Canis lupus familiaris: one gene and its partners. The protein of the gene in region 7 interacts with the protein of the main gene of each other region in a pairwise test. Links are inferred from orthologs where the notes say so. Each region holds a gene or a part of one and is shown on either strand. Other genes may lie near its edges. The genes, in order: TSC22D4, PPP1R18, MAPKBP1, NEFL, ZNF414, NECAB2 and TEX11.

Region 1 (3,933 bases), on a different chromosome or scaffold from region 7:
AAGGCAGATGTGGCTTTTCAACCCTGCTCTTGCTCAGATTGTTGGTTGAGGGTGCCATAAAAGAGAAAGTGGCCATCAGAGGGTTATTTTTTCATTCCAGGCATTGGGTAATTCGGTAAGGCCTTCGTGTGTGTGTGTGTGTGTGTGTGTGTGTGTGGCTTCTCCAATAGCAAAGAAGGGATGGGATGGGAGAGGTGGGCGGGTAGGGCTTGTCCTCAGGTGCATCTGTGTGTACATTATGTATACATGTGTGTGTGACCAGGGTTGGAGAGAAAGTGCAAGTCAGCACATTTCTGAGTACATCTCTTTGTTTCTTTATATAGGGGCCAGACAAGGGCACACCTGAGTGTGTAGAATGTTCCAGCTGTACCACTGACAGCCTCTCGGAACCTTCCGGGTCTCAATATCCACATCTAAGAAGAGGGATAATATGGTGCCTGGGATTTTTAAAAATACTCCAGCACAGCACAACAAGAGGTATTGGGAGTATAGAAGAACCCAGGTTGGTTGTGAGCTGATCATTGTTGAAACTGCACGATGGGGACTTGGGAGTTTATCATTTTTCTCTACTTGGGGGCCCATTTGCAAATTGTCATCATAATCCACGTTTTAAAATAAAGACAGGAAAGAATAACGGAACCTTCCTCATAGAGTTACTGTGAACACCAGTGAAGATATGGCAAGAGCTGAGCAGCAGCTTATGGGGTGGCGGGCACCCAGCAGAGCCCCTGGTTGGCAAGTTCTTGCTCTCTCCGTAGGCCAATGGCAGCAAGTGCCTACAAGTAAGGGAATCCCTGGCCCCCCGGCAAACTCCTCCCCTTTTCTCTCTGCCCTCCACGGCCCCTCCCTCCGAGGAAACGCAGGATTGGGGCCCAGCAGGTGTGGGGTTAAGCCTGTTGCGGGGGGGGCGGGGGGGGGGGGCAGGAACAGCAGCAGCAGTGGCAGCAGAGGTGGTGGCAGGCCTGGCCCCGGGCCAGCTGGCCGGGAGCCCCAGGAGGCAGAGAGGGCGGAGGAAGGGGAGGAAGAGGGGAAGGAGGAGGAGGAGAGGAGCAGTCAGCAGGCCCGAGGAGGCAGGACTTCCTGGTGTGGGGGTTGTCAACAGCCCAGAAAGAGAAAGGCAGAGAGACCGGAGAGAAGAGCCGAGGAGCGGAGAGAGACCCAGCGGTTCCACGCGGAGGAGATTTGAGAGACCTGCTCGCCCCAGCCACCTAGGCGGCTCCACCTGGAGGATCGGGGTGGGGGCAGAGCCGCCTCTTCCCTCACCAGTCCCGGGACCCTTGGGGCTTCGGAGGCCGCGCCTGGGCTCCACCAAGGAGGCGGGGGTCCCTTCTTTTCTGGCGAGCAAACTTTTTACGAAGATGCCTTGCGGGGCGAAGTGCGGCCCCCGAAGAGAAGCGGACAGCCCCTGATCGCCGCCGCGCCCCCCGCGGGAAGGACAGCCCGACATCGTAGGCTCCGGGACCCCCGGCCCAGCTCGGTGGCCGAGGCCGAGAGGTAGGGCTCTGGGCTGGCTGGGCGGGGCGCTGGGGCAGCGGGGCAGGGCCTGCCCGGGATCGGGGAGCTGGGGTGCGGGCAGCCTGGACACTCGGCAGAGGCCTCCCGGCGGCGGGGCCGACCGAGGAGCTGCTTCACCCCTGCTCGTCCAAGGCCCTGGAGCCCCCTCCTGCTGTCGGGCGACTCGGTCCTGTGAGTCTGAATCCCAGGCAAGAAATGCCCAACTTTGGTCTGGGCCGCCCCTTCCTACTCTGTGGGACCGCTGGGATCTCCTGGTCTCAATCGTCTCTGCCAGTCTCTTTGTCTCTGGGTCTCTGGTGGTTTCCCCTTCCTCCCCCATCCTGCTCCCCAGAGAGGAAGCCCCAGAGGTGGCCTGCCCACTGCTTTCTCACACACACACACACACACACACACTCTCTCTCTCTCTCTCTCTCTTTCCAGTTTGCAAACTCAGCTCTGGAGTTGGGCAGCGCCAGGGGCAGGAAAAACCTGCCCCTGCCCCTGCCCCCACCTCCTGCCACCTCCCCTGCCCTGTGCTCCCTTTACCAGCCAAGTACCCCCAGTTCCTGCAAAGCCCTCCTGCCATGTCGGACCCAGATGTCCCCAGGGGCCCTGATGCCCCCGCCATGTGGCCCCCCTGTTCCAGGGGTGCCTGAGCCCCTGGAGGAGCCCCAGCTGCACCCCCTGCCCACCTTGGCCGAGTCCTGAGCCCCAGGGACCATGAGTGGGGGCAAGAAGAAGAGTAGTTTTCAAATCACCAGCGTCACCACGGACTATGAGGGCCCAGGGAGCCCAGGGTCTTCAGAGCCCCCTGCCCTGCCGGGCCCCACCGCGCCCCCACCCCGTCTGCCTAACGGGGAGCCCAGCCCCGAGCCAGGGGGCAAAAGCACCCCCCGGAACGGCTCCCCACCACCTGGGGCCCCCGCCTCCCGTTTCCGGGTGGTAAAGCTGCCCCATGGCCTGGGAGAGCCTTATCGTCGAGGCCGTTGGACGTGTGTGGATGTTTACGAGAGAGACCTGGAGACCCCTGGCTTCAGCCGGCTCCTGGAAGGAGTTCGAGGGGCCTCGGGGGGCACTGGGGGCCGATCTTTGGATTCCAGGTTGGAGCTGGCCAGCTTGGGCCTGGGTGCCCCAACCCCGCAGCCAGGCCTGTCTCAGGGCCCCACCTCCTGGCTCCGGCCGCCCCCTACCTCCCCTGGACCTCAGGCCCGCTCCTTAACCCGGGGGCTGGGCCAGCTGGCAGTACCTGGTAAAGCCAAGGTGGAGACACCCCCTCTGTCAGCCTCCCCACCCCAGCAGCGTCCCCCAGAGCCCAGGACAGGGGATAGCGCCGGCCCCTCCCGGGCTGCCACGCCCCTGCCCTCCCTGAGGGTGGAAGTGGAGGCTGGGGGCTCAGCAACAGGGACCCCTCCACTATCCCGATCAAAGGATGGAGCCCTGCGGCTGAGGATGGAGTTGGTTGCTCCAGAGGAGATGGGGCAGGTAAGAGCTGGGTTCTGGGGTCAGGGAGACACCTGAGGGGTGGTGCTTGTTCATCTGGGCCTGGGCCTAACCTCCAGCTTGGGCCTCCCTGCCTCCACCTCCTTACCACCCTCTCCCCATTCCAACAACACGTGTCTGTCCCTCTTTTCTCTTCTTGCCCTCTTCCTGGGAAGTAGTCCATCCTCCTCTTCATGCAGCCTTGTTTTCTTTCTCAGGCTCCCTCTTCCCCTATATCCTGCACCTTCTTTCTTTCTCTAAGCCTTTGTTACCTTTGGCCTCCATCTCTGTTTCCTTATAGCTTAGTGCTGTCTCGCCATCACAGAGATGTCGGCTTCACACTTTGGCCCTCACCTTCTGTCTTGGTTTCACCCCTTCTGGCTTCAGGCATGGGGGATGGAGGTCCCAGATGGGGGTAGGTGCTTGGGCCTCTGGGAGAGGAGCTGTCCAGGTTGGTGGGGAGGGGTAAAAAGAAAGTCTCCCTGGCCGCACCACGCACCATTCCAAAGGTGACGGTCTGTCTTCTTATTAGCCACTCATCCCAGCCCCATCTGCAGCTTTGTCCCAAGTCAAATTTCTCCAAGGACGTGATGAACTAGGTGGGATGGAGGGCTTGGCGGTGTGTCCTTTCTGCCCTCAGGCCCCTGTCTCCGCTCCCCTGCATCTAGGCCTCTCCATGATTGATAACTGGGGGTGGCCACCAGGGAGTGGGAGAGAGGCAGGAAGCAGTGGAGAAAGAGTTAAATCCTCTGGTCTTTCTGCTTCCTGTCTCCAAAAGAGGAACAAGTCTGGGCTGGGGGGCAGGATGCCTGGGTCCCTGGGGTGAGGGTGGGCCGCCAGGGATGTGGGGGATGGATGTGTCTGTCCTGAAGGAGAAAATAACACCTTGGACTTCAGGAGCGAGGGCAGGGAGTGTGAGGATGAGAACTTTTCCCCCTTCCTGGCCTTGGGCACAAACCA
Region 2 (4,151 bases), on a different chromosome or scaffold from region 7:
CACCCTGGGAGACACACCCAGGGACAGCACTTGATTTGGGACAGAACCCTTGGGCTTGGAAATGAATGGAAAATGAGGGCTACAACAAGAAGGAAGGGTGTGCATAGAGGAGGAAGGGTAGTGGCAGGAATTAACAAGAAAGAATAGAGGAAGACAAGAATACAGGGCTATAAAAAAGAAAGGAGGCCAGAGAGAGCTGAGGCTTCTGAGAAGTCTGAGGGCTGCTCCCTACCTGTTTGTGGTGCCTTTCGGGGGACCCCTTGACAAGGCAGCTGCGGCTGAGGCGGAGGTAGCCCCCCAGAACCAAGATCTCCTCCGCAGTCGGGTACCGCTTCTTCCCAACTCCAGGAACTGCAACATCAGCCGCGGCTGGGGTGGCGGGAGTGCTGGGGGCTGCTGGGGGCACAGACCGCCGGGGGTTGACTGTGAAGGTGTGTCCACTGCGGCGAGGGGTCCCCACCCCTGGCCCTGCCTTCACCCCATAGAACAGACGGTTCATGAGGGGATCCCCAGGGGACTGGGGAGCAGGTGGGGCTGGGGGTAGGGGAAACAGAGGGGCTGTTGGTGGGGGCCGGAGATCCACCGCTTCCTCTTCCTGCCTCGTAGAGCCTTTAGTCCCAGCGTCCTCTGGTGGGAAGGGGGAGGGCACAGAGCTACAGTTCTGCAGGGTTCTCAGAGGCCTGCTCAGAGCCCCTGCCTTCTCCTTCTCAGCCTCCCCTTCTCCAGCCTCTGTACCAAGAGGCCCCAGATACTTCTCAGCAGCCTCTGGGGGTTTCTGAGGTTGAGTCTCTGTGTCCCTGGGTGTCCGTTCTCGAACCTTTCCAGAGTTCAGGGTCCATTTCCAGCCTTCTGTCAGCCTCAGGCCCCTCTCACTATCCTCCACAGGGCCGGGCCTTTGCTCTGCTGCCTCCACCTCTCCAGAGCTGCTCTCTGGAGCCTCCCTTGTCAGGGTCTCTGACACCTTTGTAATCTCTTCTGAGGCCAGTGTTGGAATTGGTCTCTCTTCTTTTCTCCTACATTCCTCCAAACAGTCTTTTCTTTCTTCTTCTGAGCTGGGCCTCCACCCTGATGCCTCCCGTTGTACCAAACTCTGTTCCTGAGACTCTCCAGAGTCGGGCCTCCATTTATGGGACTCTGACAGCTCCAACTTCTGGTTGTCAGATTCTGCGGGGCTCAGTCTACTTTCCACCACCTCTTTTCTCCTGGGGCTTTGTTCTGCAGGCTCTGCCAGTCTCAGACTCCACTCTGGAGTTTCTCCAGGGCTCAGCCTCCATTTCCGTGCCTCTGACAGTCTAGAGCTCCTGTCTCCAGACTCTCCTGGGCTCTGCCTCCAGTCCCAAGCCTCTGAAGTTCTGGGGCTCAACTCTCGGGCTCCCCCTATCCCCAACTTCCTCTCTCTGGCCTCCCTGGGACTGAGCCGCTCTTCTTTTGAGTCTCTTCCCTTGGGGCTCTGATCTCGAATTTCCCCAGGACTGGGTCTCCTCTCCCGGGCCTCCAAAGGCCCAGGCCTTCTCTCTGCAAGTAACTCTTCATTGCGCTGCTGCTGCTGCTGCTGCTGGCGCTCCTGCCGAATGAATCGGTTCTGGTGCACCGGCCCAATGGCTTCTAGGAGGACAGCCGACTCATCTGGGTCTGGAGGTCCAGCCTCTGTAGTCCCAGGGGCAGGGCTAGGTTCTCCAGGAGACAGACCAAGCTTGGCCCGGCGGCGCTCCAGGATTCCCCGCTTCCAGGCTGGCATCTGGGACAGACGATCCCGCTCAGCCTTCTCCCGGCCACGAAGGGCCGCCTCCTCCTGCCGCCGTCGGGCCAGCAGCTGTAGCTTCCAGTCCGGGATGGTAGCCATGGTCGCGCGGAGGTAGGGGTGGGAAGTGCTGGGCTAGAGAACAGGAAAGAGAGGCTCCAGAGGTCCTGGGGGTAGGGGGAGGGGAAGCAGAGGGGCAGAGGAGGGACACCGAGATGGGCCCAGGCCCGGGAGGGGAAGAGTGAGAAGATGGAGGGCAAAGTAACGGGGAAACAGAAAGTGAAAAAGCAGTGGGCCCGGCGGAGGTGGCGTCGCGGCCCTGAGAGGAAGAATAGAGATTCAGGGCGAGGAGACAGCAGTCAGAATTGGCAGCGCGGGGTTCATGGTATCGGGGAGGCCCGAGGATGTGAGCGGAGAGAAGGGCGGAAAAGGAGTCGTAACGAGGGAGGCGAGAGCCCGGAGCGGCCGGGGAGCGGGGGCGGGGGCGGCGCGAGGAGGAGGACCAGGCCGGGTTTCCCCACCGCCGCCCCAGAGGCGGGGGGCGGGGGGGGCGGGGAGGGGTCCGGGAGTCCCGCCGGGAGGGAGCCGGGACTGGAGCGGCGTCGGGGAGCCGGGAGGAGCCGGCGTCCGGGGAGGCAGCGGGGCGCGGGGCGCGGGTGCGCCCACCCCGGGGCTCCCGGAACCCCGGCGCCCGCCCCCGCCCCTCCTGCGGCAGCCCCCGGCCCGGGCCGCGCCCCGGCTCCGCGCCCCGGCTCTGCCGCCAGGCCCGGCTCCCGGCTCAGCGGCCCCGCGGAGCCCGCCGTCCCCCCGGCTCGGGGCGCACCGACAGGCAACCGCGGCTCGACGGGAGGAGCCCGAGGTCCGCGCCGGGGCGGGCGGCGCGAGACACCCCCGCCCCGAGGCCGCAGCCCCGCAGCCGACTCACACGCGCGGGGCTCCCACGGGAGGGGTGCGGAGGAGCAGGCGTCCGAGGGAGGAGGAGTGGGACCGAGGGAGAGCCGGAGACGCGGGCGGGGAGGCGGGAGGGTGACCGCGACCCGGGGCCGGGCGGGGGGCGGCGACCGCTTTGTCTGAGGACAATGGGGAGGGAAGGGGGCGCGGGCGGGGCGGCGCGGGGCGGGGCGGGGCGGGGCGGGGCCGGCTCCCGAGCCCGCGCGTGGGCCCCGCCTCCCCGGCTCCCCTTCTCGCGCCCGAGCCCCGGCCCGGCCCGGCCCTCCTGCCGCGAGCCCCGGAGAACGCAGGTGTCCAGGCCCTGGCCCCCGCCCCGCCCGCCCCGCCCGCCGCGCCCGCCGCGACTCAGGCCCCTCGAGGGACTCGCAGAGGAAGCAGCCGCTGCCCCGGCCGGGCCCGCCCCTCCCCAGGCGGTGGCCTCTCCCGGCCAGCCTGCGTCACTGCGGGGTCCCGGGCGGCCACCCGGAGACGTACTCGGAAGCCCACGGCTTTGGTAACTGGCCCCCACGACAGCCGCTGCCCAGTCTTTAGCTTCAGCCCGCGTCCCATGGGTCCCGGTCCACGGCGGGGGAACTGGGGACTTGGAGGAAGGGGGCTGGGCCTCGGGGGTGTGCCCGAGGGGCCGCCGCCCAGCGGTCGCCAGAGGGCGCGGTGGCCGTCCGGACTCGACTTCGGCGTGCCTGGGCTCTGCTGGCCTTCCTTCCAAAGTCAGCCCTCTAGTTAGAGACACACTGATGGACTGCATGCCATATGTAGAAAAAACGGGCTGAATTTTATTTTTCCGCCGCAGACGTTCCTCGGGAGGGCAGAGATCTCTTAGTCACCAACATGAAGGGCGGGAGGATCCTCTCAGGTTAGAGGACAGAGCCCAGGGCCAGCGCCTAAGGAGGGGCAAGGCCTAAGGAGGGGCTAGGTGAGTCAGCAGAGCTGGCATTACCATCAAACCTGCAGACCCTGATCCTACTCCTAGGAAGGGAAGCCTGAGGGGGAGAAGGGGATCCCTGAGGTGTAGAAGGGAGCAACAGTGGGAGGGAAGTGGGCAGGCCCACCCTTCTTCCTTAGAAGGACTGTTCTTAAGGTGGGGTGGAGGTGGGTCAAGGCCTAAACTGTGAGGAAATACTGAAGTTCCCCACCCTTCCTCCGTGGTTTGGTGAGAAGTAGATCTTGGGGTCCAGTGGTTGAAATTCAGGATTAGGGTATGGAGCTGGGCCCAAGGAGTGGAGGCTCAAACAGGGGAAGGGATGGCCCCTTCAGTCCATAGATTTGGGCCTCTGGTCTGAAGCAGCCAGAGCCCAGATGTTAAAGGGCTTGGGACCAGGTTAGCTCCTCACTCGGCCTCACCTTCCTGGGGCCGGGAGAGCAAGTGCAGTTTTCTTTGTAACTGGGCCCGGAGGTAGCGGAGGTCTTGCTGGTCAAGCCCATGAGCCAGGCCCAGGTACAGGGTAAGGAGGAGAGCAAG
Region 3 (3,500 bases), on a different chromosome or scaffold from region 7:
CTTATTCTGAGGACAGTCCCAGGTCTAGTCACAGCATCAAGGACAAACCAGTAGTCCAACCTTGAGTCCCTGGCTTGGTCAGAAGGCACTAGAGGCCCCACAACACCACCAATCCACGGAACTGCTACTGACAAGGAAGGTGTTGCCATGTGAAGTCTTGACAAGGCACAAGTGAGGGCTGGACTGCTGTGGGACTTGCACAGACAGCCCTTATCCTCCTTCTGGCTGCTCTGAAGTAGCAGCCCAGTTACTGGTCCTCTCATGGCCCTTTCCTTCTAAATAACTGCTCTGGAAGTTCTGACCTCACCCCCAACCTAGAGTCTTTAGAACTACAGTTTCTCAAGATTTCCACTCTTTGAAACTTTGATGTTCTTGAACTTCAGGTTTTTAAAAATATTTTATGTATGTGTGTATATATTTACTTACTTGAGAGAGTGTGCACACGTGCATGCATGGGCACAAGGGGGCAGGGCAAAGGAAGAGGGAGAGGGACAAGCAAACTCTCCTCTGATCCAGTGTGGAGCCCTAAGCAGGGCCCAACAAGGGGCCCAAAATGGGGGCCCTTGGGGCTTGATCCCATGACACTGAGATCATCACAAGCTGAAACCAAGAGTCAGACGCTTAACTGAATGAGCCACCCAGGCGCTCCCCTTGATCTATAGCTCTGTTTGGCTCAGGCCCCCCTTGTCTACTCCTTATCTCAACCTGTTCTTCATTCACATTTACTCCCAGGCCCCCCAGGCAGCTGAAAAGATGGAGCACTTCTTCTAGTGGTGACTAGCCTTTGCAGGCCACCCCACCTGGCCCACAAGAAGGAGACTCCCGAGGCTTCATCATCCCTAATCTGGGACCAGCCAAGCTGCTCAAACTCTCCCACAAGGCCCTTCCTTGGACACGAGGGGTACAACATGCCGGCAAGCCCAGAGAGACCTGCTTTTACCCTCCTCCAGCCCTGTGACCTTGGAAGGGCATTTTTAACAATGGTGACTCACCCGACTCATCTCCCAGTGGGACAAGCTTCGGGGCAGGGCTGGGCTGGGCACTGAGGCTAGACAGAGACAGGCAAAGCAGTCAGAGAGAGTGTCTCCTGCCCACACACCCAGAGCCCTGGCACTGCACCAGCTCATACCCCTGGGTGGCCACAGTGATGCTCTGGTTTCCTCGGTTAGCCCTGCTCTCCACCCCTGGCCCCAGAAAGGGCATATGTAGCTACTGTGCCAACTGGTGCCTATCTGGCCCTACTCCAGACATCCACATACCTGGCTCTTTTTTGGTACCCTTGGCAAGGATGGGCAGAGCTGGAAGTTCTTCTTCTTCGGTGCCCTCATCTTCTCCCTCCTTGTCACTGTCTGATGACAAAGCTGGTCCAGGAGATAGCATCGATGGCGCCTCATGCCTGAGTCCAAGACAAGGAAGGCCATGGAGAGAAGAAACTCAATGCAGGAAGAGGAACAACCTTCATGGGTCTTCAGGTAAGAAACAGGTGTTGGGCGATCCAGGAGTCAGGAGGTACAGGTGAATGGCAAGTCCAGAGCGAGAAGGGGAAGCACTGAGGCAGCAAGCAGTCTAGATGGCCACCCACCACTAGCCCATATTCATACTCTGTTCTCACCTGTTGGGTCCTGCAGCTCTTTGGGGAGAAGATGGTCCCTGCTGCTTGCCTCCACGCTGACGCTGGCGCAGTTCAGCCAGACGCTGCCTCATACTGATGGTCATCTCAGAGCTCAGGCGCCACACAAATATACAGCTGGGTAGAGCCACAGAGGCAGGTGAGGGAGAGAGAGGTTAGGCCTCTGGAGTGGAACCCCACTAGTTCCCCTTCTCTATGGGTCAGCAAGAAGACCAGAGCCACCCTCCAGTGCCACATCAGGCCCAACCAAGAAATATCCCTGCTCAGCCCTATTCCCAAGAGACATCACTAATGCAAAGAGAGGGGAGGGGGAAGAGTGTGTGTATATCTCAGGAAAAATCTGTATGTCAGGGAAGTGGGCTTCTGCTCACCTGTCTCCTGACACAGAGATGAGATGTTTGCAGTCATTACTAAACTTCATGCCAGTGACAATCTCTGTGAGGAACAAAGAATATGGCCTCTGAGCTTCCCTAAAGTCCCAGCCAAGCCCTGTCCCAACAGTGGAAGTGGATGGTTGGTTGGAAGGGAGGGGCAGACAGCTCTGCTAGCTCCCAAGAAAGTAAAAGAAGAAAGAGTAAAGTTCCAGCAGTAGAGTACTGGGGCAACGACACTCACCTGAGTGGCCAAACATGGTGGCCACACACTCGCCTGAAGAGAAGTCGAAAATGGAAAGGTTCTTGTCAGAACAGCTGGTGGCAATGTAGATCCCCGAGGGGTCTGTCTGCACCTAGGGATGGGACACACAGCTGGCAGAGGACAGGGCAGCACCAGTCCCTTTCCACCTAGTATATCTGTCATGCCTTTCTCTGGCCCAGGGCAATTCCTCCTGGGCCCTTACCTTAATCAGAGTGCCATCCTCACCCTGTGACCCTTTAAACAGCTTCTTTTGCTTCCCACTGCTGATGTTAAAGATCCTGTAAAGAAGCATACTCTTGCTCACATGAGGAGGCCATGATCAAGCACTGCTGGGTGGCAGAGACCCCTGCATTCAGTCCCAGCCCTGTTTTCTCTGGGAGCCACTCCCCAACACCAAAGGGGCTACACCACCTCTCAGGTACGGCAAAGTGCCCTGTAGGTTCAAGGGGGCACAAAGACCTGGACAAAAAAGATAGAAGTGGGGAGAGAGCTACCTAGAGCTGACCCCCTCAGGCATGAAGGAATGCAATCAGATGGTTGGAGAAGAGGATGCCCACCGAATATTTCGGTCCTGGCAGCCAATGGCTGTGTACTTCCAGCTGGGCTCCACATCCATATCATAGAGAGTCGTCTTCCGTACCACATGGTGTGTCCGTGTAAACTGTACTCCATCTCCAGACTGCAAGGGTAGAGCGTGTGGGCCCAACAGGCCCAGAGAGCCCTGCTTTCACCCCCCTTCAACTCTTACAACCTCAGCTGGGGAAAAGGTAGAAACCCCCACCTCCCAACCCCTCCCCATTTAGGGAAGCCCCATACCCTCACCTTCTGTGCAGTGCGGAAGTAAATGCTCTTGTCTGCTCCACAGCTGATCATGCGGACTTGCCCATCGCTGGCTATGGAAGAGGGGGTCCTAGCTCTTCCCACTGCTTTCACCAAAAGGGGGCCAGCCCTTCCTCTATTACCCCACTGCTGAGCTTTCTACATGACCCAGACAACTAATTAAATCAGGATGCTTCTCTCCAAACCTAAGCTAGCCATTCTCTATCCTCAGGCAAGCTGTCTGCCTGAGGGTTCCCTAGACAAAGAGTCTACATTCCACTCGCCTTCCTGGCCCCAGGCCTCCTAGCTGCTGTCCAACACCCCCCTGTGACCTGCACACCCTCCTCATGGAGGCAGGAGGCTGGGGGCAGTTGGGGTGGGGATGGAGGATGTTAGTAGTAGGTGGCAAGATGTA
Region 4 (4,222 bases), on a different chromosome or scaffold from region 7:
ACTCATCATCCTCCCCCTAAATACTACCCTTAAAGGCAAAGGAGAGCAGGAGCAGGAGCAAGGCTGGGAATTATCAAAACTTCATGACTGGGGATATTGTGCCTACCATCAGGAAAAAAAGAAAAAGAAACAGAAAAACAAACAAAATAGTCCTGTCTATTCCATTTAAAATGTAACAAGAAACTAGGAATAGAATTCATTAATATCACAGGGTCAAATTCTTCCCTATTTGTCTAAATACCTTCTTGGAAAAAGCCAAAATGCAAACAGTTATTTCAAAGGACTATTCTTAAAGGCTTCTGACTCAATATAAATGAAACCTGATTTTCTTCCTAAACCACAATGGCTGCTACCAGCCCACTGTTTTTACCTGTAAGCTGCAATCTCAATGTCTAAAGCCATCTTCACATTGAGCAAGTCTTGGTATTCTTTAAGGTACCGTGCCATTTCACTCTTTGTGGTTCTCAATTCATTTTCTAATTTGTTGATTGTGTCCTGTTGGAGGACCAAAAAGAAAAAAAAAAATCCAGGCATAAGTCCCAATTGCTATCATTTTAGTATATTACAGCTGCAAAGGCCTAACCTACATAAAACCAAAGTGCACTCCTTAGATAAGATCTCCCCTAAAACAACTGTCTTTTCTCTTTTTTAACCTTTCCTTCCTTGTATTAAAAAAAAAAAAAATCCAGCTCAGGAAGCATGAAATGAAAACCAAAAAAATAAAAAATAAAAATAAAAATAATTTAAAAACCTGATAGAAGAAATATTCTTCTTTGTTTTCTTCTAATTGCTACTGTCTAATGATCATCATAAAATGCCTGCAAAAAATTTTTGGTCGATTAAAAAAAAAAAACTTTATTTCACATTCATTAGTTAACTATGCAAGTGAAGTGGAAGAAATTACTCCATTGCTTTACAGGAGTAGGAAGTAGCTAGCTATAAAAGAAAAATGACAGTCATTGTATCTAAAATATTTTCTATGTATCAATATTATTTTTTTCTCCTTCCCAGAAAATGGAGATCCTTAGAAAAGAAATGTCTTTTTGTGAACATCATTACCTATTCCAATTTTGACTGCACTCCTGTCTACCTAAGGGCAAGGAGTGGTTGATAAAACTAGTCTCAAGCATGCCTTGGTCACAGGTAGCCTGCAGAACTAACGAGAGCTGTGTGCTGTAATTATGAAGCTGATGGTCCAATGTGGAGGGCAAAGCGACCTGTGGTTAGTGAAGGACGTTAGAGAGACAGGCCAGAGGCAACGCCCAGCTCCCATCCCCTCCGCCCACCCCACCCTACCCTGGCAGGGCTGGGCAGCTTTAATGCGGAGCTAGATACAGCTGCACCAGGCACGTCTCCTCGGACTGCAGTGGGGCCCCCACCCCCCACCCCCGCCCTCCAAGTGCCCCACCCCTCCCACACAGTCCCCTGGGAGCCAAGTTCTACTGGCTCCTAGCTACCTGCGGAGGCCTCCTCGGTGGTCTCCACGTTCCGGGCGCGCCCTCCCCCTCCCGCCACCACTTGCTCCCGCAGCTCCCTCCCCGCCCCCACTGCGTTGTGCACCGTGCCAGACCTGCATAGCACTGATGTCGGCGTTCTGCTTGTCCTCCAGCTCCTGCAGCTGCTTCTCCAGCGCCTCGTTCATGCCCCGGCATGCTTCGATCTCCAGGGTCTTGGCCTTGAGCAGGCGGCGGCTCTCGGACACCTCGTCCTTGGCGGCGCGCACCGCGTCGGTGTTCTTGGCGGCGCTCTCGGTCAGCACGGTGAAGCGGCTCTTGAACCACTCCTCGGCGTTCTGCATGTTCTTGGCAGCCAGCTTCTCGTACTGAGCGCGGATGTCCTTGAGCGCGGCGGAGAGGTCGGGCTTGGAGGACACGTCCATCTCCACGGAGATCTGCGCGTACTGGATCTGCGCCTGCAGCTCGGCGATCTCCTCTTCGTGCACTTTCTTCAGAAAGGCGATCTCGTCCATCAGGCTGTCGATGCGCTTCTCGAGCTCGGCGCGGGCGAGAGCGGCCTCGTCGGCTCCCTTGCGCGCCTCCATCAGCCGGCCCTCGGCGTCCTCGCGGCTCAGCACCTCCTCTTCATAGCGCGCCTGCAGGTTGCGCAAAGTCTCCTCCAGCCCTTCGCGCTCGCCCTGGAGCGCCTGCTTCTCGTTGGTGGCGTCTTCCGCCGCCAGGCGCAGGTCGCGGATCTCCTGCTCGTACAGCGCCCGGAAGCGGGAGGGCTCGGAGTGCTTCTGGCGCAGCACCAGCAGCTCGGCTTCCAGCACCTTGTTCTGCTGCTCCAGCTCGTGCACGCGCTCGATGAAGCTGGCGAAGCGGTCGTTGAGGTCCTGCAGCTGCGCCTTCTCCTGGGTGCGGATCGACTTGAGGTCGTTGCTGATGGCGGCTACCTGGCTCAGGTCGAGGTTCTCGAGACTGGGCATCAAGGAGCCGGAGCTGGAGGAGTAGCTGCGGCGCACGGACAGCGAGGAGGAGACCGGCGCGGAGTAGCTGGAGTAAGCGGAGCGCGCGGTGCTGTAGCCGCTGCGCACGCTGGAGATGTGCACCCGGGGCGTCTCCACGTAGCGCCGCTTGTAGGAGGTCGAGTAGTACGGCTCGTAGCTGAAGGAACTCATGGTGGCGGTCGGAGGCCCTCCGGCTCGCAGCGGAGGTGGGGGGGCCTACGGAGAGAGAAGAAAGGGGAGAGAGGGAGAGGGGAAGGTGGATGGCTGTGTGCGGCTCGGCGCGGTCCTGCCACCCCTATTTATACGCGGGGAGCATTCTGACGCAGCCTGCGATCGATCACGGCGCGCCGGGCCAGTGGGGGCAGCGCGCTGCTGCAGCCAAGGGGAGGATTCTGCGCAAAAGGGAAGGCGGGGGCGAGCCACAGGCGGCTCCGGGCTGCGGCGCTCGTCCTTTCCACTTACTTGTCTCCGAGGCCTGCGATTTATTTCCCCCCAAGACCCCTTACCCCTCACTCATTTCCCTCCCCAACCCCCGTCCCCATCCTAGTTCCTCCCTGGACCCCGCATCACATGGATGCGCGTCCCCAATAATAGGTTCTCACTCCCCCACTGACCTCTTAGTTCTCTGTCTCCCCGCTTCCTCGGAGACACCCTCACCCCTAAGTCGCCCCTTCCCCACCACGGGCCTCTGCCATCATCCCCGTTGGGGCTTACGGGTGACAAGGCAGTGCCTCTAGGGGCTTCGGAAATTGAAAAGTTTAAGCTTGCGTGTATTAGGCCTCCAAGGGGAGGAAAGTTTCCTGTTTCTTTGTAGCTGTTTCTGGCACTTTCTTTAATTCATGTCCCTTGCTCCCGGTGATTTTTCTTTCTGCTTAACGCGCTGCTTCTGCACGCGCGCGCGCACACACGTGAACCTGCGGCACTGCGGGTGTGGATTTTAGCGTTTCTGACCCCCCGTAGAGCCGTTAATATGAGCCTTCCAGTGTTCTAGATTTAATCGTTTCTTTCCGGAGAAAGAGTGTTTTCAGCGTGTGGAAGCGCGTAGGTGGGGGAGAGCCGAGAAGTGAGTTTGAAACTAAGCGGGGGTTGGGGGGGGGGGAGCCGACTTGCAAAGGCAGCGGCGAGCCCCGTAAGCCCGGCCCTTGGGACTGATTCACGCAGCCTGTATCTTCTCCATCAAACTGAATTCCCGCGGGGCACCACCAACTCCGACACACCCAGAGCCCCTTTCCCTCTTTTTTACACCTGTGTAGCATCAACCTGATGATTTCCACAAGCCAGGCAGGTGGCCGGTTGTCAGAAGGAGGCTGCGGCTGCCAGCCCCGAGCGCGCCGAGGGCGGTCTCCCGGGAGGAGCACTCGGACCCCGACACGTCTCGTCCTGGGGCATCCAGCAGAGAGCTGCGTGATTCTTCCCCCGGCTCACTCTGGTAATTAGATTGCAGACACAGTCAGACATCCGTGTTTCTTTAGGAAACACCCCGATACCTGAAAACAGTAATGCACATTGATACAACCCTGCGGTCTGCAGAGCATTTCACACGCACGATGCTACGGAGTCCTGGTTTCACGGAGCGATTGCAGAGATTTAATAGGATCACTAAGGTTTTTCTACACGAGCACTTCGTTTCTATTGAGTTTGTGTAAGGGGAGCGTTTGATGTGCAACTTACTAATTTTTTTTTAATAGCAAACTAAGGGGGGAAACAGGCTAACAGTTTGCAAAAAAGAAAAGCCGGCACCTCTTTCTTTCCCTGTGAGGCTGAGACGGTGAAGTG
Region 5 (3,956 bases), on a different chromosome or scaffold from region 7:
TCAGGAGTCCCGGGGGCGCCCCGGCTCGCCCTTCAGGCGGCCCAGTTCCCAACTCACCTTGGCTCTTCTTCCAGACTGCGGCGCTGGAGGCGGGCGGCCCGGGCGCCGCGGCCAGGAAGGGGCGCAGGCGTGGGGGACTCAGGCCAAAGGGCGCGGGGTTCAAGTAGGGCAGGAAGGGCCCGGTGGGGGCAGGGGCGGGGGTCGTGAACGGCTCGAGCAGCGGGAACGGCAGGCCCGGCGCCGACGCGGCGTCGGACTCCGGGGGACGCTCGGGCGCCGGCGGCTCCTTGTCGAGGGCGGGGGGTGGCGGCGGGGCTGGGCTCTGCGCATGCTCGGCGCAAACATGCAGATGCTTGAAGAGCGAGCGGTGCGTGCGGAAGCGCAGGAGGCAGTTCTCACACCTGGGGGCAGGCACAGGGCTGGGCTGGGCCTCCTGCGGGACGAGGGTAGGGCCTATCCGACGCTACCTGGGGAGCTGCCGCGCGACGGGCGTAGGTAAGGGAGCCTAAGGCCCAAATCACAGATCCCCCATTTGCGGGGGGAGAAGCTTGCTCTAAGCGCCCCCCAGTGTGGCTGCGACCTTTCCGGACCCCTCTGGGTCCTTGCCCTGGGAAAACGAGGAAGGAAGTCTCAATTTTGACTTAGGTGGCCACTTTTCTTCTAGCGGGGTCAGGAGAGACTGAATGCAAACACACCACGTATGCCCCGCCCTTCCCAAGCTCCTCGCTCCTCCCCCGGGTCTCTAGGGTCCCGTAACCAGGGTCTCTTTCAGGGCCGGTAAGGGCAGGTCTTGCCCGAGGGCACGCCCACTACCAGACTCAACCCACCTCCCTGTTGACTAGGAAGGGAGAGAAAGGCCTGGACCCCAGGTAGTGGCAATCAAACCAGGGGTGGGAGGAGCTGCCTGGACCGGTGGAAGTCGGCATAGGGGGGGGTCTCACTTGAAGTAGCGATTGGGTTTGTAGTGCAGCTTGCCGTGTGCCACGAGTTCCTGCATGCTGGGGAAGGTCTCGGTGCAGCTCAGGGCAGAACAGCGGAAGAGCTTGCCTGGCAGGACAGGGATAAAGGACAGAGGAGTGGAGACGGGTGGCCGAGGCTGGCCTGGAGGCACTGCCTGCCTCCTACCCCAAACTGCCTCCCCACCGCCTACTCTGGCCCTACCTTCCAGGGACTGTGTGGGTGGGCAGTGGGTACGCAGATGCTGTGCCAGGTCTCGAACACTGGGGAAACTGAGGCAGCAGCCAGGGCTGGAGCAGGGTATCTGCTTCCCTGCAGGAAGCACAGAAGGGGAGGTGTCACCCACTGTTCTCTCGTCCACGCTGTCCAGAGTTATGCCCCGGAGAGGCACAGATGAGGCTGGAACTACCCTACTGGTTTCTTACCAGCACCTTTACCATCTGCTTCCCCCACCAGACTGGGCTCCTGGAGGGCAGAGGCTGGGATGGCCTAGCTCATCACTTTAGCCACAGCCTGGCATACACTTGGTGCTCGCTCAGGAAATGGTGACTCCCTCTAGATGGGGCCCAAGTTTGGAGATACTCTGTACTCCTCTCTATTGTTCCAAGGCCTGTGACCCTCCAGAAGGCTCCATCACAGATCACCTGGTTGTTGGCGACGTCTGGGAGGCCTCAGGTCCTCGCTGGTCCCAGAGACTGTGCTGGCCGGGCCAAGGCTGGATCCAGGACCAGGCTGACCACTGTCTGGGGGTGAGGGGCCACCCTGCTGGGTCCCCCCAGGCCCTCCGCGGTCCCACACTGGGGGTGTGGCTGCCCGTTCAGGGCCTGTCTCCTCCCCCATGGAAGACGAGGTGGCCGCGGCGGCCACAGCTGGAGACAGCACCTCCTTGTCAGTCTCAGTGAAGCTGGGCTCTGCAGCGGCCGGCATGTCCGGGCTGGGCCCCGAGGGTTCCTCCTCCTAATGAAAGGAAAAGGCAGAGAGAACCCCTCTGGGCCCAGGTCGGCCTGGACCAGCCAGGGGAACCCCCCCCCCCCCCAGACCTTTGAACGTTCCTGAAGCAGCGAATGCCCTCAAGACATCACCAGGTCAGACCCCATTCTAAGGAGTCACCATCGGGGAGGACGGAGGTAAGGGTGGATTGAGCCTCCTGTGTTCCCATCCTCTGGTAGGGCACTGGGAGGGGTCCCAGTTGCATAAGGGGTAACTGTCTGGAATTACTCCTATGGAAGAAGCAGTCCCTAGTCCCTAACTTGGGACAGGGGGATGCCCGCCCCCCACCCCGACACAGCAGGGGCGTGGCCTACAGGGTGAGGGCGAGGCGAAGGCTACGAAGATGGGGCCCTGAGCAGGGCACCGCTAGAACATGCTGGAGGGGCCAGAAGGGATCAAGCGCACTACCCGAGGGCCGAAGTCTACCCACCCGCCCGCCCGGAGCTGCGCAGTCAAACCGGGAGGTGCCAGGGCCCCGGATGCAGAAGGACCAGGGGCGGAGCCCAGCCCGGTGGGCGTGGCCCAGTCGCAGCCGCGCCAGGAAGCAGGGGGTGGGGCGTCCCCCAAGTGACAGCCAGCGACGGGCGAGGGCCCGGATGTGGGGGCGGGGTCGGCCCGAGGCTGCGCGTGCCACAGGGCCGCCCCGCCAGTTCCCGCTGGTTCGCCGCGCCCGCACCCCCGGCGCCGCGCTCACCATCCTCGACCCTGGCTCCTCCTCTTCTTCCTGCGGCTCCGGCGGCTCCCGCTGAGGCTGCGGCGACTCCCTGGGCGGCCGCGGGCTCGCGTTCACGTCGACGCCATTTTCCGCCTCCCGGCTCTCGCGAGAGCGGGGGCGGGGCCTGCGCACGGCGCCCCTCGGGGGGGCGGGGCCTGAGATCTGGGCGCTCGTGGGGAGCTGCGCAGGCGGCGCTGGGTCTGCGAGCCGGGCTTGTCGGAGGGCGCCTTGGAAAAACCCTGAGCTCGGAGATCCTGGCCTAGAATCCTGTCTGCAAAATGGTTACCTTTGTCCCCTCCCGTCCGGTCACCAGCTCTCAGCCGCTCTTCTTTTTGAAGAGGTCGTGTTGGTTGGGCAGCATCTTCGGAGGGAAATCGGCAGTGACCGTCAAAATTGTCAATGCACTTAGTTCTGAAGTTGGAATGGGCTCCTTGTGATAGCCAGGGGCAGGAAGCAAGCTGTCTGTCCCCCGGACAGGGGTAGCCTAAGGATGAAGACCCCTGGGTGGACCTGCGTGGAACGAGTCACCTGTGTACTAGGCGTTGGGGACCCAGAGATGAACAGGACAGACATCCTTGACCTCAGGGGCCTGCTCACATTTTAAAATGGGAAAATAGACAACGAATCAACAAATGCAGAAAACCGCCTTAGTTACATTAAGTGCCACAAAGGAAAAAAAAAAAAAAACAGAGAAGGGAGAGAAGCGTCTCTGTGAGTTGACTTTTGAGCTGTAACCGGATGGTCAGGAAGGAGTGAGCAGATCAAAGGTCAGGGGACTCTGGGAAGTGGATAGCTGTGCAAATGTCCTGAGGTAAAGAGGGACAAGCTTGTCTTAGGGACCAGTGAGGGGATCAGCTCACTGTTGGATCAGAGAACTTGATGCAGAGAAGGTCACACAGGGCCTTGTGAACCATGGAAAGGAGTGTGGTTTCTATTCTCACCATTGATGTATTTTTTTTTAATTTTTATTTATTTACGATAGTCAGAGAGAGAGAGAGAGAGAGAGGCAGAGACACAGGCAGAGGGAGAAGCAGGCTCCATGCACTGGGAGCCCGACGTGGGACTCGATCCCGGGTCTCCAGGTTGGAGCCCTGGGCCAAAGGCAGGCGCCAAACCACTGCACCACCCAGGGATCCCCACCATTGATGTATTTTTATCTGGGGGAGGTCCACCATCTGATTCCTGGCTGTTGTTTGGAGGATGGGCAGTTGGGGGATGGTAAAGGGAATCTTTGATCTCAGGTCTCTATACATTATTTAACATTCAAGAGGTATCTGTTGAGTTCTGGGCAAAT
Region 6 (3,500 bases), on a different chromosome or scaffold from region 7:
AACCCATGGCCTTCAGGACGGAGTGATTCAAGGTCTCCAGGGAGGCCAAGACGTCCTCATAATCCCCCATGTGCTCCACAAAGTAATCTGACGGAAGGCAAAGCAAAGGTCAGGGGCAGAGGATGAGGAGGATCCCACCTGTGCCCCCGTCACTCCCCCAAGTCCCATCCCACCACCCGGGTCCTGGTCCCTATAGAGGTGGGCACCTACCACACAGCTCCTTGGTGTCCACGTGGCTGCAGAGAGAAGAAGGGAGACTTGGGTCAGGCCTGTCCCGTCCCACCCGCCCTCCCCCTCCGCAGCATGCACGGCCGGGCTGGTGAAGTGCCTGCTGCTCAAGTGTGTGCATGTGTGCACAATCTCTCTCTCTCTCTTTCTCTCTCTCTTGTCCACCCCACGTGCTGGGCTGGCCCTGTGAACCCTGCTCTGCAGGTGAGGCTGCAGCAGGTCAAGGATGACGCCCCTCCCAAGGACAGAGCAGGGACCCACACCTGTGTATTCTCTGGCCCCACCACCTTCCTCTCTGTGCCCCTCCCCACCCCCTGTGTCACGAGCTGTTCGGGGACCCGAAACATGGCTAGGCCGGGGCTGGGAAACGAGAGGGAACGGGACAGAAGGTGGGGGGCCCAAGACCAGTGTAGGCTGCCCCGGGGCCTCCCTACCTTTGGGTCCTGGGACAGCCCTCCTCATCCCCATTCCTACAACGCAAGAGGATAATGTCCTTCCTCGGAGGAGACTGGGCACCAGAATGCCACCCATGCTGGAGAAGCTGCGTGTAGCAGCCTCAGAACAGAGACATAGTAGTGCAGGGTGCTAGCATCAGATGCCGGGGACCTGAGTGTCTGTGCAGGTTCTGATAACCTGGCCCTTTCTGGGCCACAGTTCCCTGAGAGAGGAGGGGCTGCCCTGGGTTAGAGAGCTCCTGGAACCCCGAGTTCAGTAAGATGCTTCTACATTCAGAGGCTTTGGAAGCTCTGTCTTGGAGCTTCCTCCAATTCACATCACATATTAGATATTCTGATAAGTCCTGCAGAAAGGAAGCTTGTTTAATTGTGCTTAAACTAGGATTTTACTAGTACTTTCTGATCCATATGAACTGTTCTGGGCAAAAAGCCTGTTCAGCATCCCAAAGAATGAATGGGGATGCTGGAGAGGATAATACTAAAGTCTTTAGAATTCTGACCTTCTGTGAGGTCACACACTCATTGGTTAAACTCTCCAACCAAAGCCTCCTTTCCCACCTGCCCAGCTGGCTCAACACAAAAGGCACCATGAAAATGAGTAAACCAAGAGGCTTGTGCTTAGCCCTTTCAGAGCTCCCTGGGGGCGCTGCAGGAACCACTCAGAAACCTCCATCTGTTTGCAGAAGCAAAGCCCTTCACTGGGTCTACGGCAGGAAGGGCAGGAAGCAGTTTCAAGTGGCCTTCCCCGGACAGGGACACCTGCCCACCCTGGTCCCCAGCCTGTGCCTCCCAGGACACTCTCGGTCCCAACCTCTGGTCCAGGCCATCACTGATTGTGCTGTGTCCCTTGCAAGCAGGTCTGGAGGCAGCATCTTGTCCAGACCACCTCCAGCCTGTCTCAGGGGACCCCAACTCATCAAATCTGCTCCAAGCAGCACCCTCGGAACTCTGGTTCCCAGTGGGCCTGTGTGGGCCCGAGGAAGGTGACCCACTGAGGGGCAGAGAAGGGGGCTGGGCCTCATCCTGCTTTGGGAATCCTGTGGGGGTGGGGGGCAGGGGGTGAGGTCGTGGGGTCGCATACCTGTGAGTAGAACAATAGAATGAGCACTTTGCGTGACTTAGGGATGGCTTAGGCCAGAGTTTTTAGCTCTGAGATGCAAGTTCCAGGGGTTACAGTGGGGTTTAGCTAGATACAGAGGAGTGAGGTTAAAGTCAGAGCTAGGATTGTATCTGGTCAGTCTGGTTTAAGACAGGAGCCGTGAGGTCAAGGTCACGGAGTTCAGGTCGGACTGCGGAGGAGCACCAGGTGCCGGGGTCAGAGCTAGGCTGAGTCGGCAGAAGGTGGAGGCCAACTTTCCCTGTGTTCGTGCTGCAGGATCGAGGGTCTGTCCCTTCTTAGCCACGTGTGCTCAGGAAGGACAAACTGCCAAAGCAATGCCAACTGCCCACTTCCCAGGTCACCCCGGCCAGTGGGGGCCAAACAGATCCGACTTTCGGATCAGTGAGTGTGGGGATGTTCTGGATCTCCTGTTCCTCCAGGGAAGTGGGAAGGAGAGACTGATGCCCTAGCTGAGGGGAAAGACGGTCCTCCCCAGACCCCCTGGACGCCCCAGCGACCAGGGCTTCGCTCACTTGGTGTTGTCAGAGTCGATGGTGTGAAAGAGATCCTCCAGTTCCTTCTCATTGAGGACGCCATCTGCGAAAAAGAGCTGGAATTCCTCCAAGGACAACTTCCCATCGTCTGCAAAGTAGGGAGGAAGAAGGTAGAGCAGCTGGTGTCTAAGAGATAAGACGTCCCCCAAATCCAGACAATTTCCAAATCAACAGATAAACTCCGGCCAGATCATCTCCGTCCGCCCAGCGAATGCCCAACTAAATGAGGAAACTCTAGTTCACAGAATATCGCCGACTTATCTGGCTAATTCCCAGACCCACACCTCAACACCCACTTACAGATAATCCCCAAACCGGCAACCACCACAAGCAGCAGCGAGTTTGCTGGGGCGCTCGTCCCTGATGCGCTCAACTACGGGAGAGCACCTGTTCCGGCAGGTGCGCCTCTCTCCTCACCTGCCGACCACCTGCAGCTGGGTGCGGTTTAAGGCAGCACTGCACGGAGGCCACGGGGTGTGATGGCCATTCTCCCTTGCTTCCAAGTGCCCACCCACCCCCATACTTGCATGCTCTCCAACTCCAGCACCCAGGTCCTGACTTGGGGGAGGGACACCCCCTTCCCCTCTGCCCCTTCCTCAGGACAAACTTTCGAGCCCAGACCTTCATGCGGCAGCAACAGCTGCCGACACTTGGCAGGGAGTTCCCACCCCGCCAGAGACCCAACCGTGAAGACGCCAAACTGCAAGGGAGGGAGGCATCCAGGCTGCCCAGGGCCCAGCACGGTCCCATCCTCTGTTGCACCTCTTCTCCGTCCACACGCAGGACCCCTGGGCACCAGCATTTGTGTGTGTGGGGCAGTCTCCTGGGCTGGGGGCGGGTGGTCACTGAGGGAGGGGCTCACAGCGGAAGGGCAGTGACTCTGGGAGAGGCAGACCCCACACTTCCACCCTCAGCCTCAGCAACTTCCTTCCACCTGGGCACACCTGCCGAGCTCCTGCAAGGACCTCCACCACCCCCTCCTCAACCATCTCAGCCCAGCTCCCGCTGCTCCTTAAAGGAGCCACACCTGTGGGGTGGGGGCCGTGGGAGTCAGAGGGAAGGAAGCCCCCAGCCCCTCAGCACAGACCCCCTTCTATTCCAGCCACTCTGCAATCAAAGTCCCTACAAGCCCACGTGGCACCCCTGTGTGGATTAGAAAGAGAT
Region 7 (3,500 bases):
GCACAGTATCTAGTCCTTCCCTACTTGCACTGGCATTGATAGTGATGCATCTTTCCAGAGCTCTATCTTGGCATTCTTCTTAGATTCCATTTGATATTCCTAGGCTCCCCCCTGTTTACCATCCTTCCTAGTTTTCACTCTAGGGCATTACTGTATACAGTCCTCTAAGTCTTGCAGTTCTATGGAATTACTGAGAGGAACAATGATCAGAATCATTTTCCAGCCAAGGAAGGAAGGACTGAGTTATAACTGGTTGCCCAGATAGAACCTCTCTTCCCCTCCGTGTCATACCATCCACCTGTAGCCCTTTCCCTTCCTTACCTGAGTTTCATAGCTTCTCTTGAGGGAGCCAAGGCGGTCAAGAAAACGCAATGCTAGGCCACACCATTTTTCTGCAGATACATACTTGTTCCTGCCATACATAAATATTCCAGTATTCCAGGACTTGATCATCAGCCAGAGAATCTCTGTTTCTGGGTAGCCTTTCTGAAATCCAAGAACAGTGGGTTTACAGTTATTACTGTCACAGTCCTTGTAGCATTGACTATATTACTGCTGTGTCCCATTATTATTAAACAAACAATGGGTACTCTGCTAACACCAGGGAAGGAGCCAGAGCTCCTTGAGAGTAGGAGAAGAGCATCTTGAAGGTTTGTCAGCTGTAGAATGCTCCAGAGCAAGACCTCATGAAGTGATATTTAAACTGAGAAAGCACTGAGGCCCGCCTGGACTGAGTATCGGTCTCCCTGACATAGGAGAAAACCCTGTATCATGTTTGGGGCTCCCCTTAGTGCTGTCCTCAGTCAATTATCTCCCCAGTATCTATCTCTACTTCTCAGAGAAGCTTGTCAAGAAGTAGTTTTTATTGAATCTGTTCATTTCCTTGACCTTAATCAGTGTGTATTTAGAATAGAAATTATATTCGTCTTTAGATGTTACATATATCATTATTTTAAGGAATTGGCTCACACAATTGTGGGGACTGGCAAGTTGGAAATCTGTAGGGGAGGCCAGCAGGCTGTATATTCAGGTAAGAGTTGATGTTGTAATCTTGAGTCTGAAATCTGTAGGGCAAGCCAGCAGCCTGGAGACTCCGGCAGGATTTTAATGTTACAGTCTCAAGGCAGAATTCCTTCTCCGGGAAATCTCAGTTTTTGCTTTTAAGGTGAAAACTGATTTTGGAGGGTAATTGGTTTTATTTAAAGTCAACCAATTGTAATTTAAACAAAATATTAGTCTTTTGTGTTGACAATTTGTACTTAGCTATGAACAAAAGGGCCCATTTCTAAGATGGTCCCTTCACCTAAGCATAGTATTTAACATGGCTGATCATAAGATTTTGCAATAGTGAAAGGGATTAGTCTGAGGAGCTACTTTCCAAGTTCTTATATAGGAGATGGACCACAAAGGCAGCATTCATGTGCTCAATCCAGGTTAAAGCCCTTCATCTATACAACAGGCCCCAGAAGGGGGAAATGTGATAGAAGACTTGGGCTGCAGTTTCTTGGGAGTGTCAATGACATCTCAGCTGAAATTCTTTTACTCATTTGGGTCTATGGAAATCACTGCATTAAACACTCTGAGAAGGAGGGTGTTAAGAGGGACAAAGCTCTTATACTAAAGGACACGTAGTTGCCTTTGGGGAGACAAGGCATCCAATGTACAAAGAGGACCATACAAGGTATGTGATTAAGGGCTAGTCAGAGTGACAGAGGCATTAGGTACTCTAATTCAGTTTTTAAAAAATGAGCATTAGACTGGTACAGTCAGAGGAAGTCTAGTCTCTGCTTGAAATGCCATCCCTGTCCCTGTCTACTTGGTAAACATCTACATTTTCTTCAAATTCACAAGCAGAGTTAGGTACTCCTTTCTCTCTGCTCCCATAGCAAGCTTTATGTTCCTCTAATACAACTTCTATCACATTGCTTTGACAGTGTTTACATATTTATCTCCTCTGCCAGATGGTTGAATTTATGTCATCAATGCATGAATGAATGAATGAGCAAATGAATCAACAACCAAAGTCTCCCTCCTCCATGAGACATTCCCTGCCCCCCTCCACCATTTATTATCCACACCACTTTGTTCCTATGGCCCTTTGTTCATAGCACTACCACAGCACTTTATAATATCGTATTGTCTGTCTCCTCCACTAGGGCAGGGAGTTCCTTGAAGGTACCACGGCATCTATCTTTGTATAGTCACAGCTTGGCACAGTGTCTGACAGTGTTGTGATTTCAACCAAATGGATGAACAAATGACTGAACAAACAAACATGGCCTTAGGGTAGATGAGTAGGATTCAGATATACAGAGAGTATATGGAATCTCCACAGAAGGCAAATGCAAGAGAAGCAGATTGGTGCTTGTCAAGGACAAGGGCAGAGAGAAATCATACTAAGAACCACTGAACTATAGACTTTAAAATTGTGGGTTTTATGCTATATGAATTATATCTCAATACAAATTATATATATATATAAATCTCCATATATATATATATAAATCTCCATATATATATATATATATATATATATATATAGAGAGAGAGAGAGAGAGAGAGAGAGAGAAAGAGAGAAGGGATTCCATGTGGGCAAAACAGAACAAATAAAGACCTGGACTGTGCTTGAGGTTGTGCATGTCTTGGGGGATTGGAGTGGGGGCTAATACTTGTTTGGCCTAAGCAGGCAGTTTATGTAGGGAAATTAGTGGGAAATAGGACCAGAAATGTAGGATAGGGCTACCTAAGTATTTCCTAAGTGCTTTTCCTCAGAACATTAGTGTCATGAAAAACAGATGGTCAGTAACAACAGGGTTCTGTTGTCAAATATGTCTCGGACATGCTGCATTCTACATATATCCTCTTGGGGCAGTTTGATGCACATTAGTTCATTAAGTGTTTTAGAAAGTTTTAAAGAAAAGAAGTCATGTGACTGTGCTTCATCCAGGGTATGTATATCATTTGGAAGATAGGTAGGCTGTTGCAGATATGGACTGGAACTTAGGTAATACTTGAAATGTATCAATTCACTTGAAAGACAGAATTATAGAGAACAGAAGAGTGAAGAATAATGGAAATGTTCACAGTTGGGTGGTATGAGTGAAAAGATAACACAGAAGAGCAGTGTGAAAATAAAGGACAAAGAATTTCAGTGAAGAAGCAGTGGTCAATAATGAAGGCCAGGGTAAAGAAAGAAGCCATTAGGTTTGTCTAGCAGTTGGTAATGGTAACTCATAACACTGCTGAATACAGTGTGGCTAACAAGGCAGAGAGTGAGGGAAAGAGTGAATCGAGATAAGAACAGACAGGGAAGCAGAGCCTTGTAGGCCGCATTCAAAATTTTGGTCTTTTTTAAAAAAAGATATGTATTTATTCATGAGAGACACACAGAGAGGGGTGGAGACATAGATAGAGGGAGAAGCAGGCTCCCCACTGGAAGCCCGATGCGAGACTCAATCCCAGGACCCTGGGATCATGACCTGAGCCAAAGGCAGATGTTC

Evidence for each region.
Region 1: the proteins of TEX11 (region 7) and TSC22D4 interact in a two-hybrid assay, tested with the Homo sapiens proteins (2 studies listed by BioGRID and IntAct). The two-hybrid records come from large-scale screens. The link is inferred for Canis lupus familiaris from reciprocal best matches to the Homo sapiens genes TEX11 and TSC22D4.
Region 2: the proteins of TEX11 (region 7) and PPP1R18 interact in binary tests that used the Homo sapiens proteins (3 or more experiments, as listed by UniProt). The two-hybrid records come from large-scale screens. The link is inferred for Canis lupus familiaris from reciprocal best matches to the Homo sapiens genes TEX11 and PPP1R18.
Region 3: the proteins of TEX11 (region 7) and MAPKBP1 interact in binary tests that used the Homo sapiens proteins (3 or more experiments, as listed by UniProt). The two-hybrid records come from large-scale screens. The link is inferred for Canis lupus familiaris from reciprocal best matches to the Homo sapiens genes TEX11 and MAPKBP1.
Region 4: the proteins of TEX11 (region 7) and NEFL interact in a two-hybrid assay, tested with the Homo sapiens proteins (2 studies listed by BioGRID and IntAct). The two-hybrid records come from large-scale screens. The link is inferred for Canis lupus familiaris from reciprocal best matches to the Homo sapiens genes TEX11 and NEFL.
Region 5: the proteins of TEX11 (region 7) and ZNF414 interact in binary tests that used the Homo sapiens proteins (3 or more experiments, as listed by UniProt). The two-hybrid records come from large-scale screens. The link is inferred for Canis lupus familiaris from reciprocal best matches to the Homo sapiens genes TEX11 and ZNF414.
Region 6: the proteins of TEX11 (region 7) and NECAB2 interact in binary tests that used the Homo sapiens proteins (3 or more experiments, as listed by UniProt). The two-hybrid records come from large-scale screens. The link is inferred for Canis lupus familiaris from reciprocal best matches to the Homo sapiens genes TEX11 and NECAB2.

The regions. Positions count from the first base shown.
Region 1 is NC_049227.1:9,141,688-9,145,620, forward strand, and holds the start of TSC22D4 (TSC22 domain family protein 4), read left to right. Parts: upstream 1-1,133; 5' UTR 1,134-1,494; intron 1,495-1,935; 5' UTR 1,936-2,214; coding exon 2,215-2,976; intron 2,977-3,933.
Region 2 is NC_049233.1:625,434-629,584, forward strand, and holds the start of PPP1R18 (phostensin), read right to left. Parts: upstream 2,801-4,151; 5' UTR 2,667-2,800; intron 1,877-2,666; 5' UTR 1,844-1,876; coding exon 233-1,843; intron 1-232. Other genes in the region: NRM (nurim), read right to left, coding at 3,542-3,573, 4,034-4,151.
Region 3 is NC_049251.1:9,143,807-9,147,306, reverse strand, and holds part of MAPKBP1 (mitogen-activated protein kinase-binding protein 1), read right to left. Parts: intron 3,160-3,500; coding exon 3,089-3,159; intron 2,946-3,088; coding exon 2,824-2,945; intron 2,545-2,823; coding exon 2,469-2,544; intron 2,358-2,468; coding exon 2,246-2,357; intron 2,066-2,245; coding exon 2,002-2,065; intron 1,748-2,001; coding exon 1,613-1,747; intron 1,397-1,612; coding exon 1,260-1,396; intron 1,049-1,259; coding exon 993-1,048; intron 1-992. UniProt on the Homo sapiens protein: Negative regulator of NOD2 function. It down-regulates NOD2-induced processes such as activation of NF-kappa-B signaling, IL8 secretion and antibacterial response. Involved in JNK signaling pathway.
Region 4 is NC_049246.1:32,631,897-32,636,118, reverse strand, and holds the start of NEFL (neurofilament light polypeptide), read right to left. Parts: upstream 2,801-4,222; 5' UTR 2,618-2,800; coding exon 1,571-2,617; intron 496-1,570; coding exon 371-495; intron 1-370. UniProt on the Homo sapiens protein: Neurofilaments usually contain three intermediate filament proteins: NEFL, NEFM, and NEFH which are involved in the maintenance of neuronal caliber.
Region 5 is NC_049241.1:53,455,301-53,459,256, forward strand, and holds the start of ZNF414 (zinc finger protein 414), read right to left. Parts: upstream 2,801-3,956; 5' UTR 2,645-2,800; coding exon 2,642-2,644; intron 1,915-2,641; coding exon 1,602-1,914; intron 1,270-1,601; coding exon 1,162-1,269; intron 1,048-1,161; coding exon 942-1,047; intron 402-941; coding exon 58-401; intron 1-57. UniProt on the Homo sapiens protein: May be involved in transcriptional regulation.
Region 6 is NC_049226.1:68,831,394-68,834,893, forward strand, and holds part of NECAB2 (N-terminal EF-hand calcium-binding protein 2), read right to left. Parts: intron 2,425-3,500; coding exon 2,316-2,424; intron 237-2,315; coding exon 211-236; intron 88-210; coding exon 1-87. UniProt on the Homo sapiens protein: May act as a signaling scaffold protein that senses intracellular calcium.
Region 7 is NC_049260.1:55,153,188-55,156,687, forward strand, and holds part of TEX11 (testis-expressed protein 11), read right to left. Parts: intron 487-3,500; coding exon 322-486; intron 1-321. UniProt on the Homo sapiens protein: Regulator of crossing-over during meiosis. Involved in initiation and/or maintenance of chromosome synapsis and formation of crossovers.